2 linked regions of the Caenorhabditis elegans genome follow. Each later gene encodes a partner of the first gene's protein in a complex. Each region holds a gene or a part of one and is shown on either strand. Other genes may lie near its edges. The genes, in order: nud-2 and bicd-1.

Evidence for each region.
Region 2: nud-2 (region 1) and bicd-1 share a complex: the UniProt entries of both Caenorhabditis elegans proteins name them as parts of the dynein-regulating complex.

The regions. Positions count from the first base shown.
Region 1 is NC_003279.8:7,857,121-7,861,529, forward strand, and holds nud-2 (Protein nud-2), read right to left. Parts: upstream 2,298-4,409; 5' UTR 2,284-2,297; coding exon 2,074-2,283; intron 1,989-2,073; coding exon 1,598-1,988; intron 1,549-1,597; coding exon 1,433-1,548; intron 1,167-1,432; coding exon 1,002-1,166; 3' UTR 636-1,001; downstream 1-635. Other genes in the region: apb-3 (AP-3 complex subunit beta), read left to right, coding at 1-154, 330-626. UniProt on the Caenorhabditis elegans protein: Part of a complex with lis-1, which is recruited to the nuclear envelope by unc-83, where, in turn, it recruits dynein to the nuclear surface and regulates nuclear migration in hypodermal precursor cells.
Region 2 is NC_003282.8:6,566,289-6,574,399, forward strand, and holds the start of bicd-1 (Protein bicaudal D homolog), read right to left. Parts: upstream 6,049-8,111; 5' UTR 6,041-6,048; coding exon 5,840-6,040; intron 5,430-5,839; coding exon 4,953-5,429; intron 4,569-4,952; coding exon 4,431-4,568; intron 4,171-4,430; exon of another isoform or gene 4,150-4,170; intron 4,057-4,149; exon of another isoform or gene 4,036-4,056; intron 3,979-4,035; coding exon 3,786-3,978; intron 3,469-3,785; coding exon 3,281-3,468; exon of another isoform or gene 3,263-3,280; intron 3,197-3,262; coding exon 3,104-3,196; intron 3,051-3,103; coding exon 2,807-3,050; intron 2,638-2,806; exon of another isoform or gene 2,616-2,637; intron 2,116-2,615; coding exon 1,733-2,115; intron 1,630-1,732; exon of another isoform or gene 1,609-1,629; intron 1,226-1,608; exon of another isoform or gene 1,200-1,225; intron 951-1,199; coding exon 774-950; intron 534-773; exon of another isoform or gene 513-533; intron 61-512; coding exon 1-60. UniProt on the Caenorhabditis elegans protein: Part of a complex with dlc-1 and egal-1, which is recruited to the nuclear envelope by unc-83, where in turn, it recruits dynein to the nuclear surface and regulates nuclear migration in hypodermal precursor cells.

The sequences.
Region 1 (4,409 bases):
AGGTCTCGATGTGAAGGGAAACTCGATTATTGGAGATATTCCGTCTGGAGCACGAGTTTCTGTTGATTTGCTCGTAGATTTTGGAGATAGTGCGACAAGTAGAGAATGGATACTTACAAGAGATGATGGTCATGAGAAGCATTTCAGATTTGAGGTAATCTTTTAAATAGTTTCAGAGGCTTTTAAAATTATTTTTTCCACAAAAAAAATTGAAAAACGTAAATACTCCCTTGATGGTTAATATTTTATATCAAAACTTGTATAATTCCTGACTAGATTCCACAATCCGCATCTTTTAAAGATAAACTAAATTTTTTCCTAAATTCTAGGTCCCATATGGTGAGCAAGTTCAACCAATTCGTCTGTCTCCAGAAGATATTTCAAAAGAAAGAAGTCGTCTTGGAGGTCTCAATCGGCATGTGATACAACTCGAAAATCCCATTAATCCTTCGTCAATTGCTCTATTTGTTAACGCATTTTCTTCGGATTTGACCATTTTCACTTGCCAGACACGTTCACGAAAGGATGTTTGTATTCTGACAGTTTCAGAAAAATCGATTGAGTGCTGTTGTGACAACTCGGTGATAGGACGAATGCTGGCGTTCTCTGTCTCCAAAAATTGCTAGAAAGATTAATTCAAATTGTATTTATTTATTTATTTTGCTCACTTTTTCTTGAAATCATTCCTTTACTAACTATTCATGGTGACGGATATATAAATTTTTAACAGAAAAATTAGAAATATGTAGGCACTTTAGAAATTTGGAAAATAATGTGGGTGAATGGCGAACGTGGAACTTATATTGAGCAACAGTAAGGCGGGGCAAATAAAATCGGGGTCTAATACCAATTGGGTGGGAATAAAACATAAGCATGATACAGGATGTCATGGAAAAGAATAATAACGGAAAGAAACGAAGGAAATGATGAAATGGAGGATCCCTGAGTGAATGAAAAGTCACAGTATGCGAGAAAGGTGAGAAAAACCAAAAAATGAAATGTTAAGCCCGTGTCGTTGTAAGATGACTGGAATTGTTGTTAGACGAGTTGTTGCTCACGCGAATCGTCGATAAAATTGAATCGAGCCGCTCGACTTTTGTCATCAGGTCTTTGACGATTCGATTGATGCAAGCACCGGCGCCCGTACCGGTAGATACTCGTTGGCTCTGAAAGCTATGTAAATGTTGGCTGAGAACTATAAATGGGTTAGCAAATATTGTTTTTTCGGTCTATTCTGCATCTAGAGATGCTATCGTTTATAGTTGTGAGGGAAAAAAGAATTAGAACTCGCTGCAAGAGTTTTTCGACTAAATGTTTTTCATTCCGAAATAAGGTGTGAAGCTATTAATTGATCGAAATTTGCAGGTCTTCTTTGAATTAATATTTGGATATTTACTTTCAAAAATCCACCAAAAAAAGAAAATTTACGTACTTTTTCTTGAATATTTTTATTGTCATCGATGCGCACTTCGTCAATTTTTGCAATAGTTTCCTCCATTCGAACATCTTCGTGGTGCTGCACGTCTTCCATGAAAACATCTTCCGAGCCTTAAATAGTACTAGTTATTTTCATTCTCAAAATGCGACAAATACTTACTCATTTTAAACTCTTCTTTACTTGGACCTGGGGATGGCTCGTCCGGCAGAATTTCTGGATCATTCCTCAATGGTTCTACAATCAAACGTGGCCGTTCTGTTGTTCGAAGTTGTTCTTCTCGTAATCTATGCATTTCTTCAGCAGCAACTTGCCGTTCATAAAGCTCACTTTCCAACATTGCTATCTTTTCAATAGCATGATCCAGTTTCGATCCGAGATCAGATGCTAGATATTCCTTATTTCTTTCTGATGTTTCGAGCACATCGTTTCTCTGTTCCAGTTTTCGAATTCTTTCTCTCTGACTTTCACATTGTTCATGAAGATGTGAGTTTTCTCGTCTTAATTGCTCTTCGACTTGTGCAAATTGTACACGGGAATCGTCCTGTCGATCCTTTAAAATTCACAAAATTCAAATTATAGTTGAAAAATTTTATAAAGTTTTTTTTTTCAATTTTAATGTAAAAAATAGTACCAACCTTGTTCCTAATTTGCTCTGTGGTCATCTGCTGTACTCTGGTTTCTGCTTTTTTCAGTTGTGTTTTCAAATCATCCAATTCTGAATCCATCATTTTCTCAATTTCCGCGGAACTTGTCTGGAACTCGTTAAACTCTTCGCGCATTTGCAAGAAATGACCAAGAAGCTCATGGTGCGGTAGTCCGCGAATTTGATCCTCAGACAAATCCATTGATTTCTGATGATCTGAAAATATTAAAGGTTTAGAAAATTGTTCAGGATATTCAACAAAAATTATGAATCGTAGGAAAAAACGTATAATGCCGCCTGTGAACACACTAAACCCTTACAACGTTCGGCCACGTGTGGACAAAAAGTGAGAGAATAGAATGGACATTTGGGAAAGAGAGAAAAAGAGAACTGGTCGAACGGAGGAAAACAGAAGCAACTACGTATTAGTTGCTACCGCAAATGGATGTTTTTTGAGGTTTAACGATGTTGAAGAAAAGTCTCAGTATTCTTATAAATCGGGATATCTAAGGTCGCCATCATCTGATAGACAGCTAAAGTCATCTCTCTGAGGAAAGATGGAAAATCCTCCAAAGTTTTTGACACAAGGCATTCGAGCAAACAAAAAAGTGGGGGTGCTCCGGCTGCTCCGGCCGCCGTGTGCTCTGTGTTTGTCCTTGCTCCCATAGCTCGTCCGCACTTCCGCTACAAAAAGTCGAACAGCTGTGCGAGTAACACCAATAGGCAATAATTTTAAGATCAGATAACCTTTGAAGATTTCAAAATACTTTGAAGGAAAATTTTACTGTTTTTTGGGTTTAATACACTGATGAAGTTCAAAGAAATCTGCTATAAGAAACTAATTCCGAAAAAATTAACACTTTTTGTAAATAGAATAGAATAGTCATTCAAGAAAATCTGTGTTAAAAGAAAAATTGGTAAATTTCTTCAAAGAGTATTCCAGAAATGGCAATCAATTTTAGTAATCGATAATTAAACTTCGGAAATAGAAATTAAATTCATATAACAGTCCAATTTCCCACACGAAATTCAGGTCAAACTCACGATAGGCAGCAGTCGGAGGAATGGGGAGCGGCAATGGTCGCGTATAATAACTGATAACAAATAGAATAAGGAATGCAGAATATATTGAGCATATTATTTGAAAGATTTTCAAGTTAAGCGGGTCAATTTAGTTGTAACGATTGAGACTAATGATGTAAGTGAGAATTTGGAGAGAATGAAATGTATTAACAAACATTTAAAAAATGAAATTCCAAAACGCCTACGCATGACTCATCGAGTTGTTGAGTTCTAATTGGATTAGGTGTGGTGAACACAGAAAATCGTACGAATTAGTGAACAGAAACACGAAACCGGTTGAGATAATAAATGACCAATTTCAGCGGTTAATATAGGATTCACGAATCACTGGGCCACGTCACGAGGAGAGTTGGGGGTGGTATAATCTGTTTTTCGCGTTTTTTCCCGCGCCGCAGTACCACACCTAAATTTGATATTCGAAAATGTAAATGAACGAGAAAAGTGCTTCACATACACACAAACTATACGATTCATCTATTTCCTATTCAGGTCGACATGACACGATCAAGGTTAACATCACTCTGCTGAAGAATTGAATAGTACGAACAGGTGAACAAAAAAAGAAAGCGATCGTCGCAAAAGATTCCTCCACATTGAGAAGCCTATCAAATCAGTATTTGACTTCACTCGTAAAGTGCCAATCGAAGAGCGAGAGCTCTGTGTTGACATTTTGGTGCTCTGACAAACTGAACTGATCATAAAACTTTTTTGTTCGGGGGCAAGCAAAAGCTGAGTAAATACGTGTTTAGCAATGAAAATGCCGAGTTTAGAAACACTCAAAACTGCCAAGAATAGAAGACAGAAATTTCGTAAAAGAGTAAATGGTGCAAAATTTCAAAGCAATTGTTGAAAATTAAAAGAAGAAAAAACATTTAGTTTAAAAGATGGTTTCAAAAATCTGTTACACAATATGTCGTCAAATATGCTGCATTAAAAAACTTGCGTACTAAGAGAACTACAGTAATACATATATTTTCAATGCTCGCCCGGAAAATTAATTGAAAACGTTCAACGAAGAATTTTGAATTTGGCCTAGTGGAAAATAATAATTTCAAAGCCATCTTTTCATGACGATAAATCTCGAAATCGTCCACCCAACCAGGTTAACAGGGAATTTCAATTTAAAAATTTAAAATTAATAAGCAAACAGGCAAGACTCCTATTTGAAACAGTACAACAATTTTGAATTCAGGCAATGACGCCAAATACCATCAAAAATGAGTCAGTATGGTGTGGGAGAAAGAC
Region 2 (8,111 bases), on another chromosome or scaffold:
TGGCTGTTGAGCTGTTGTTGTTGAACCCGGATAACGAACTGCTCTCGGTGGCTGGTAGGTCTGAAAACGGAGAAGATTAAATTAACTTCTAGAAGAAAAAAACAATTTTTTTGGATTTTTCAAAGTAAGAAAAAGTTTAATTTTGTCGAAAACTTTTCCAGAAAATCATAACATAGTGCTTGAAAATTGCCGTTTGTAGCTAAAAGTGCGTAAAGTTTTTTGGCAAAACTTCAACTTTCGAGCACTATTTCAAGATTTTTTCAAGCTTTTCACCAAAATTAAAGTTTTTTCTGCATTTCCATACCAATCAATTGAAGATTTAAAAAGATTGGATTGTCATATTAAAAAGGCAGTTTTGTACGTTTGGCGAAAGATTTGTGTCTTTGTTAAAAGGTTTTTTTTATCGTTTTAAACTAAATTTTCCAATTTTTTTCGTTTTTTCTTTGTTATTCTTGGCATATCAAATAAATTTCGAAAAAATTCCCCAAAAGAAACAATCCGCCTTCCAATGTGTTCTGTATATCAAAAAATCATTGCTTTTTGAAATTTCAACATTTTTTTGTGAATGTTTTGAAACAGTGAACATAATTAAAGGCGGAGTATCGTCTGTTGAGATTTTTCTTCAAATTAGAGAAAATGGGTCATAAAGAACTTTAAAAAAGTTATTTTTAAAAAAATTTTTAAAAAAAAGACTGTTTTAATTTTTATGGTTTTTAATCAGTGATTCCATTAAAGACGTCACATTGGACGATACTACACCTTTAATATCTCACCTCTCTAGTTGGAGCTCTTGTACTACTCCTCTTAAATACCTGCCTATCCCGATCAACTTCAACCTCTTCTAAACGTTGAGTCAATGTGAGCTTCTGTTGAATTGCTAAACGAAGAAGTTGATTTAATGTCTTCTTTTCCTCTTCATTTGCACGCAACTCGTTTGATAGTTCTTCCACCTGGAAAATTGTTAAATTTGATTTTAAAATTTACAGAAGATACTACTCCAGATACGATTAAAGTGATAAAATATTGCGTTTTGACCATATGTTTTTTTCAAATTCAGAGTTCAGACACTAAATTCAAGTAAAAAACAAATCGAGTTTTAAATGTTAAAAATAATTCAAAGTAAACAAACTGTACGAAGATGAAAATTAAAAAAAAAGTATGTTTCAACTGCTACAGATACAATAGAAGTGAGAAAATGGTTAGATATACCCCTATGACTATCAACTTAAAATGAAGTTCAATTCAAAATAAATCCTTTGTGAAACAGTAATTTCATTTACGGAAAGTTTTAATTAGAAGATGATCGCATCTATCAACTCGGCATTTGGGGGAAACTTTCTTTAAAAACTTGACAACTTCTGTCAAACTATAGTCAATATCTGTTAACGTTTAGCTGTTGAGAAAGCAACTAACTTGAGAAATTTTCATTAAGCTGCCAGGTCAGAAACTTGACTCCAAATAAAAATTTGTAAATTTTGAGAAAACGATTTTTTTTCCAACGAGAAAAATAATTCAAAGTAAAAGTTAATAACCCTAAAAAGTTTAAATATTAAAAATAGTTTCTGTTTCAACTACTACAGATACAATTTAAGTATATCTATTTTGTAATAGGGAATCTGGAATGGAAATGTTTGAATTAGTAATTAAACAGAGCTACCGTATGTCATATTATAAAAGCTATACTTTTCCCGAAATTAGAAATTCCTAACTGTTTCAAAACAAAACTAAATACCTTTGACTTGAGTTCCTCTCCTCTTGCAGTGAACATTGCCCTATGAGATGCAAACGTGGCAGCATCTTCCTTCAATTGTTTCAATTCTCTTCTCATTTTATCATTAATTTCCATCATCATTTTCTTTTCTGATTCATATTTTTCTCTCATTGAAGTCAATGCACTTTCAGCAGTCAGCTTATTCGATTTCAAAACAGTTCGAAGCGTTGAAATCTGATCTCGTTTTGTTGATAAAAGACTTCGCAATTTCATATTCTGCATTTCAATTTCATTTTCAGCTCCACTTGCCATAACTGCTTGATTGAATGCTTGTTCAGAGGTTCTTTTCACCACTTGAATCATCTTTTTCAACGATTCTGTGGTTTCGGAAATGGCATTTCCTTCTGAAAATAATGTATTTAATATATTCGAATGTGAGAATGAGATGTATATTGGCAAATTGAAAGTTGTAACGTTTAATATCAAGAGTCTTAATCACTCTTTAAATTTAACGCCATCAAACCTTAAATGAATGTTTGATACAAAGTAGTAAATTCAATGCAATATTGAAAAACATACTGCTCATAGAATTCCAATTTATGGAAAAAAAAAGTTGGTTGAAACAGTAATTTTATTTATCTTCCAAAATTTTTTTTATTTCAGCAACTTCTCTAAAACTAATAATTATTCTTGAAAAATTTAATTCGAATAAAAAATAAATTTTTCCTGCTTCTATTAATCGATTTAAATATTGCTAGACATTCCAAATATTTTCAACCAAATGAAGTATTTGAAGAAGAATTGTCTTTTGGCAAAGCTCTTTTTTTGAATTTTTCGATTCAAAAACAAACCAGTAAGTATTCTAAGTATACTAAGTATACAGTAAGTACAGTAAATTCAATGTAGTGTTGAAACCTCGACTCAAATAGCTAATATAAACCCAATTTATGATAAAAGTTGGTTGAAACAGTAATTTTATTTGTCTTTCGTAAAATCTCGTTGTTTTTTTTAATTGTAGCATCTTCTCTAAAACTTGTACATTTTTGGAAAAGTTTTGTATCCAGCTCTTTTTTGCGATTCAAAAACTAAACAAACCAGTAAGTATTCTTTGCCTCAAATCAGTCTCTGACAACACATCGCCAATCTTGACACTTGCCAACTTTTTCTCAATTTCCTTCGCAAAACTTGGCGCAATAACAAGACGATCGGAATTCAATGGAATTGATCTTGATGCATTAACATCTGTCTCTGTTCCACTTTCAACTCCTTCATCTGCCAACGAGACACGTGGAACGTCTTCTGCATTGGCACGAGCCAATAGACGCAACTTTTTCACAATCTGAAATATACAAAGTTCTGTTCATTTTCTATAAATATTAAAATAAAATTTACCTCTTGTACACTCTTTTCTGTTTGAACTCCTTGGTTCTGTGTCATTTGATGGTAGAATTGATAAAGTTGATCGGAGACTTGAATCATTGCGTCCTGAATTTTCAACATTTACATTTTCATAATGTTCTTAATTTGGTTCGCAATATGAAACTTTTATGATTTAATTCAAAAACTAACTTGAGCAGCTGCCAACTGAGCACTTTTCTCTCCAGCAACCAATACAAGTGTCCTCAAATCAGCCTTCAAAATTCCCGATCGTTTTTCTTCTCCTTCTTTATCATGACGGTCAGTGTCACGAGCAATGTTCTGGATTTTCTCTAGTACAACGTCTTTTTGTTGACGAGCATGCATGTAGTCGAGCTCATCTGTAAAGAAAACTTTGTTAGGGAATGCACGGGGGAACTAATTTTTTAAAAATTGAATAATTTTGAATATAACTAATTGTAAATATGATAAAATATTCATTTTAAAGGAAATTTGCGAAGCTTTTATTCACCCAAAACCCTGAAAACTCTGAAAAACTACATACATCTACGCTAGACTCCAATACTACCGTTGACCAATATGAAATGAATGTGAAACATTGAAAAATTTGGTGAAAATTGAATGTTATAACTTTTCACCATGTCTTCAATGGTTTATCACACTCCAAATCAAACTGAAATGTTCTATTTAAACTCACTTGTTGGTCTATGAATATTGAGGGTGTCTGCTAATCCGGTTACAAATTCGATGAAAATCTTCTCTCTGCTCTTTAATTCTTCTTGAAGTCCTTCCTTTGCAGCTTCCAGTTCACGAACTTTTACATCACTTGATCCTTGTAATTCACTGAAGAGGTCACTTGCTCCAGGTTGTGGAGGTGGCAGTTCGCCGTCCTAAAAAATTACTGTTTCATAAGATTTATACAAAAATGTTTGGTGTTGAGCGTGTGGTCCGTTAAAAGCATGTGCCACACTTTCATTCAACAATTAATTCAAGTGTTTCTGCCATTTCATGCGCCTTTTGAACACAGAAATATTAAAATAACATTTGACTAAATAATAGAAAAATCGATACCGAAAGAACAAGCCTACAACACTCCTCTTGGCCAATATAAATTGAATACGAAACATGTGAAGCTCATTTTTCTTTAAGAGCAATTTTTTCTTCCCAACTTGTTAAGTTTAGTTTCAAATTATCAGTTATCAAATGTATTTTTAAAATTCACGTATACAAAAGACATTTTGTATATAAGTGTTTTAACAAAATTTCACAGGAACTTTTAAAATAGGAAAACAAACTTTTATTAAAAGTTAATTGTTTTAATTTTTTAACAAAAAAAACAAACCTCCCCAAGCCTTTCCAATCCAAAAAGCATATCATTTAAACTACTGATATGCTCTGCATTTCTTGTCTGTTCTAATTCTCTTTTCATTGCCAATCGCTGATCCCGTTCTTGTTGAGCTGTGAGCAGAGCTTCTTCGAGCTGAAATATTTATGATAAGTTGGAAAGTTTTTCATACAAAAATTGAGGTTTTGAAAATATACATTGAGGCGACCCGTTCAAAAATTTCAATGAAAAACGGGAGCTATAAAATAATAATAACAGGTTATAAAATTAAAATAAAAGTTGTCTAGTTTTCGTTTTTTTTACTGTTTCAATCACCTAATAAATTTTGTATTGTATTGTATTGTATTTATTACGATTCAAATCGTGATCAAAAATAAATAGTGAATAGACATGAAAATTTCATAATGTTTTTGCAGTTGCAATTCCAAACAAATAGGGAAATGTTTGAAATTATTCACATATTTTTAGGAAAACTTGTTAAAGTTTCTGAGAGAGTTGTAATTTTTCAAAGTGTCTCACCTGTTTGTCAGCAATAACTCTTAATATTTCATCTTCCTCTGCAGCCATTTTCATAATTTCAATAGTCTCTTCCAATCGATTATTATCAATTCTTAATGATTCATATTCCACTTGACTTCCTCTTAAATTTGCAACAGTCTTCTGTAATCCAATATTTTCTTCTTCTAACTCTGAATATTCAGAAATTAATCTTTGTTCTCTTTCTTTTGTTTCTTTTAATTCAGCTCTAAGTTTTCTTCTTTCATCTTCTAATGCAGCTCCAGAATCGATTTCTTTCGAATGTTTCTTTTCAATACTTTCCAATTCTTCTTTCTTTTCTGCCAATTCTTGTTCTTTTTTCTTAAGATCTGCTTCTAATTTTGCAATTCTCTGTAGATATTCCTCTTCTTTTGCTGAACTTTCCTCGAGTAGAGATTCTTCATTTTCGAGTTCACTTCGAGTGGACCGTTGATGTTGGGAACGGTATTCAGCAAGAGTCTGAAAATAAGAGCAACTTGAACAACTTGAGCTTCAATAATAATTTTGTTAACACTTTACTAGTCTTTTGTTAAGCTCAATTTTGGCAGCTCATACATCTTCATCAAAAATTGTAAGCTGACAAAAATGTTGATTGTTCATTTTTCTATATTTTTACAGTTCAAAATTTTATGAAATATTTAAAAAAAATGGTAAGAATGACTGCAACAAAACGAAAAAAGTGAAAAATTTTCCTATATTTTTGTTACCTACCTGCGTAAGTCTGAATAAAATTTTTTTGATAGTTGCATGCTTATATTTTAAAAATAAATGAAATAGTACGAAAAATTTCGAATATTTACCATTTACTTGAAACATTAATTTTTTTTCAATATTTTTTCCGATTTTTATTTTCGAAATCGAATACTTACCTGATTAGTTTTATCAATTTCAGTTCTTGCCAAATCCAATTCTGCCTGCATCTCTGCTAATCGTTTCTCTAGATCTTCCTTTTGACGGAGCAATTCTAAACCCGCATTTGCTGCCTTATGAATATCTTCTTTGGCTTGTTCATATTTTTCTGTAAGGATTGCAATATCCTGACGAAGCTTCTCCAATTCTGATTCAGCCATTGTGGCTGCTGAAATTTAAATGTTAGAGAGTTGGAAATATCAAACATGAAAATAACTTAAAAAGGGGGAAAAATACTTCACTGAGTATTCCTTTAAAAAATTGTTGAAATAATTACAATTTGAAACAGGAAAAAATTTAAAAATTTAAATTTAAATAAAATGTTCTCAAATGACCACATTTTCTTTTAAAAACAAAAATTAAACAAAACCAGGAATAAGTAAATTTCAAAATTTCCAAGATATTAGTGCGACAGGTTCAATTTTGGAAATTTGCGTTTTGTCGACTAGGAGAGGGTGTCGAAAAACTAATTGTATATTCATAAGGTTTTCGTTTTCGGCTCCCGCGAGAGAAATAGTACAGGTTGAGAGGAGAGTTTAGAGATAGAGGTAACACTAGTTTCAGTAGAATTATGAAATGAAGAATGGACTAAAGAGAATAGAGAGAAATAGGGAATAGAAATGAACAAAAAACAAATAGAAGAGAATGGAAGAAAGAGTGGCTGACCTGACACAAATATTGAGTGCTGTTTCGTTTTTTTTGTTCACTCGGCAGCCAAAATCGACACAAATGCGGGGCGAGACTACTGTTCTAATGCCTCCGCAAACCGTTCTGGGTGGAGCACGGAAGACGGGGGAAATCACCGGAAATTGATGAGTCAGATCATTTTTTTCTTTTTTTTTTGGAAGGAAAGTTTAGTCACATAAAATGATATGGTTTTGGGGTTATTGATTGATTTTCAAGGAACTGATATTAACCATGCGAGTAATAACTGTCAAAGAATAGCTCTCGTTTTAAGCTTAAACCTAGAATTTAAATTTTTGGGCGAAACTACCTTAATGCTCTGAAGACTTTGGTTACTTATTTTTGCACTCAGCGACAGAAATTGTACAAAAATTAACTACAATTGTTTATAAATGAGCATAAATGGCCGAATTTCATAATGTGATTTCTTGAAAATTTTGAAAATTTTTTAGTTATGCCGGATGAAAATTATTTTTAAAAATCGCATTCTCCTAAAGTCTAAATCTAGAAACGGGCTTTTTTTCAACTTTTCAATTTATCATCTTAATTTTCTAGTTTGAGTCTTTATTCCGGAATTGTTTAAAGCACTCTACTGGCATTCAAATTTTGAAACATTTGTATTCCAATAAATTTAAAATATACTACAAAATAGTGTGATAACTGATCATGCTTTTATAACAATTCATTTCCAGACGCTGCGACAAAAAATGACAGTCTTAGCGCTAAGTATAGATTTTTTGAAAGTTTTGGCTCTTTTCTAATGTTTCAATCAATTGAAAAATTTTGCTACTTCACTTTAAAAACCTTTCAGAATTCGGGTAATGTTTCAAACTATTGCATATTTTTCCAACCAATTCTGTTTTGGGTATTTTTATTATGTGTTCTTTTTTATTGGTTTGTTACAACATTTTAGTCATTATAACAAAAAAAAATCAAACGAGAAAAAATTTAAATTACGTATGCAAGAGAACAGTTGGGTAAAACTCGTAGAAGCTTATTAAAAAATTTGCAGAAGTCGATCAAAGTTTTGCAGACATGCAATTTTTCTTGTAATTTAAAAACAATTTTTTAAACAACACAAAAAATATTTTTGATTAATAATCGAATATATGTATTACAGTATGAAAAATAATATTGTGTTTCGCTTGGAACTAAAAAAAAAGATGTACATTAAACGAACAAAATTTTTGAAAAACTTATCAAAAAATATAAACAGTAAAAAACTTATTTCTCGAATAAGGCTAGATTTCTCTTGCACTCTACAGTACTAAAATGCCATTGAAAAATTGAGATCTAGTAACAAAATAAATCTCAAAAACATACATAAAGTATCTCTATAAATTTATAACTTTGTCTTATAGACTTCATTCAAAAATACAGAAAATTAATGTGATATTTTCTCGGCTCTATGATAGAAAAATCCTTTACAAAACAATCAAGAAAGAAGGGAAAAGGTTTCGAAATCTTCAAAAACTTTATAAAAATATATCCAACATAAAGGTCCACCCCGATGCAATTTGAAACCAGTTTAGAGGGAGAAGTCCTCCC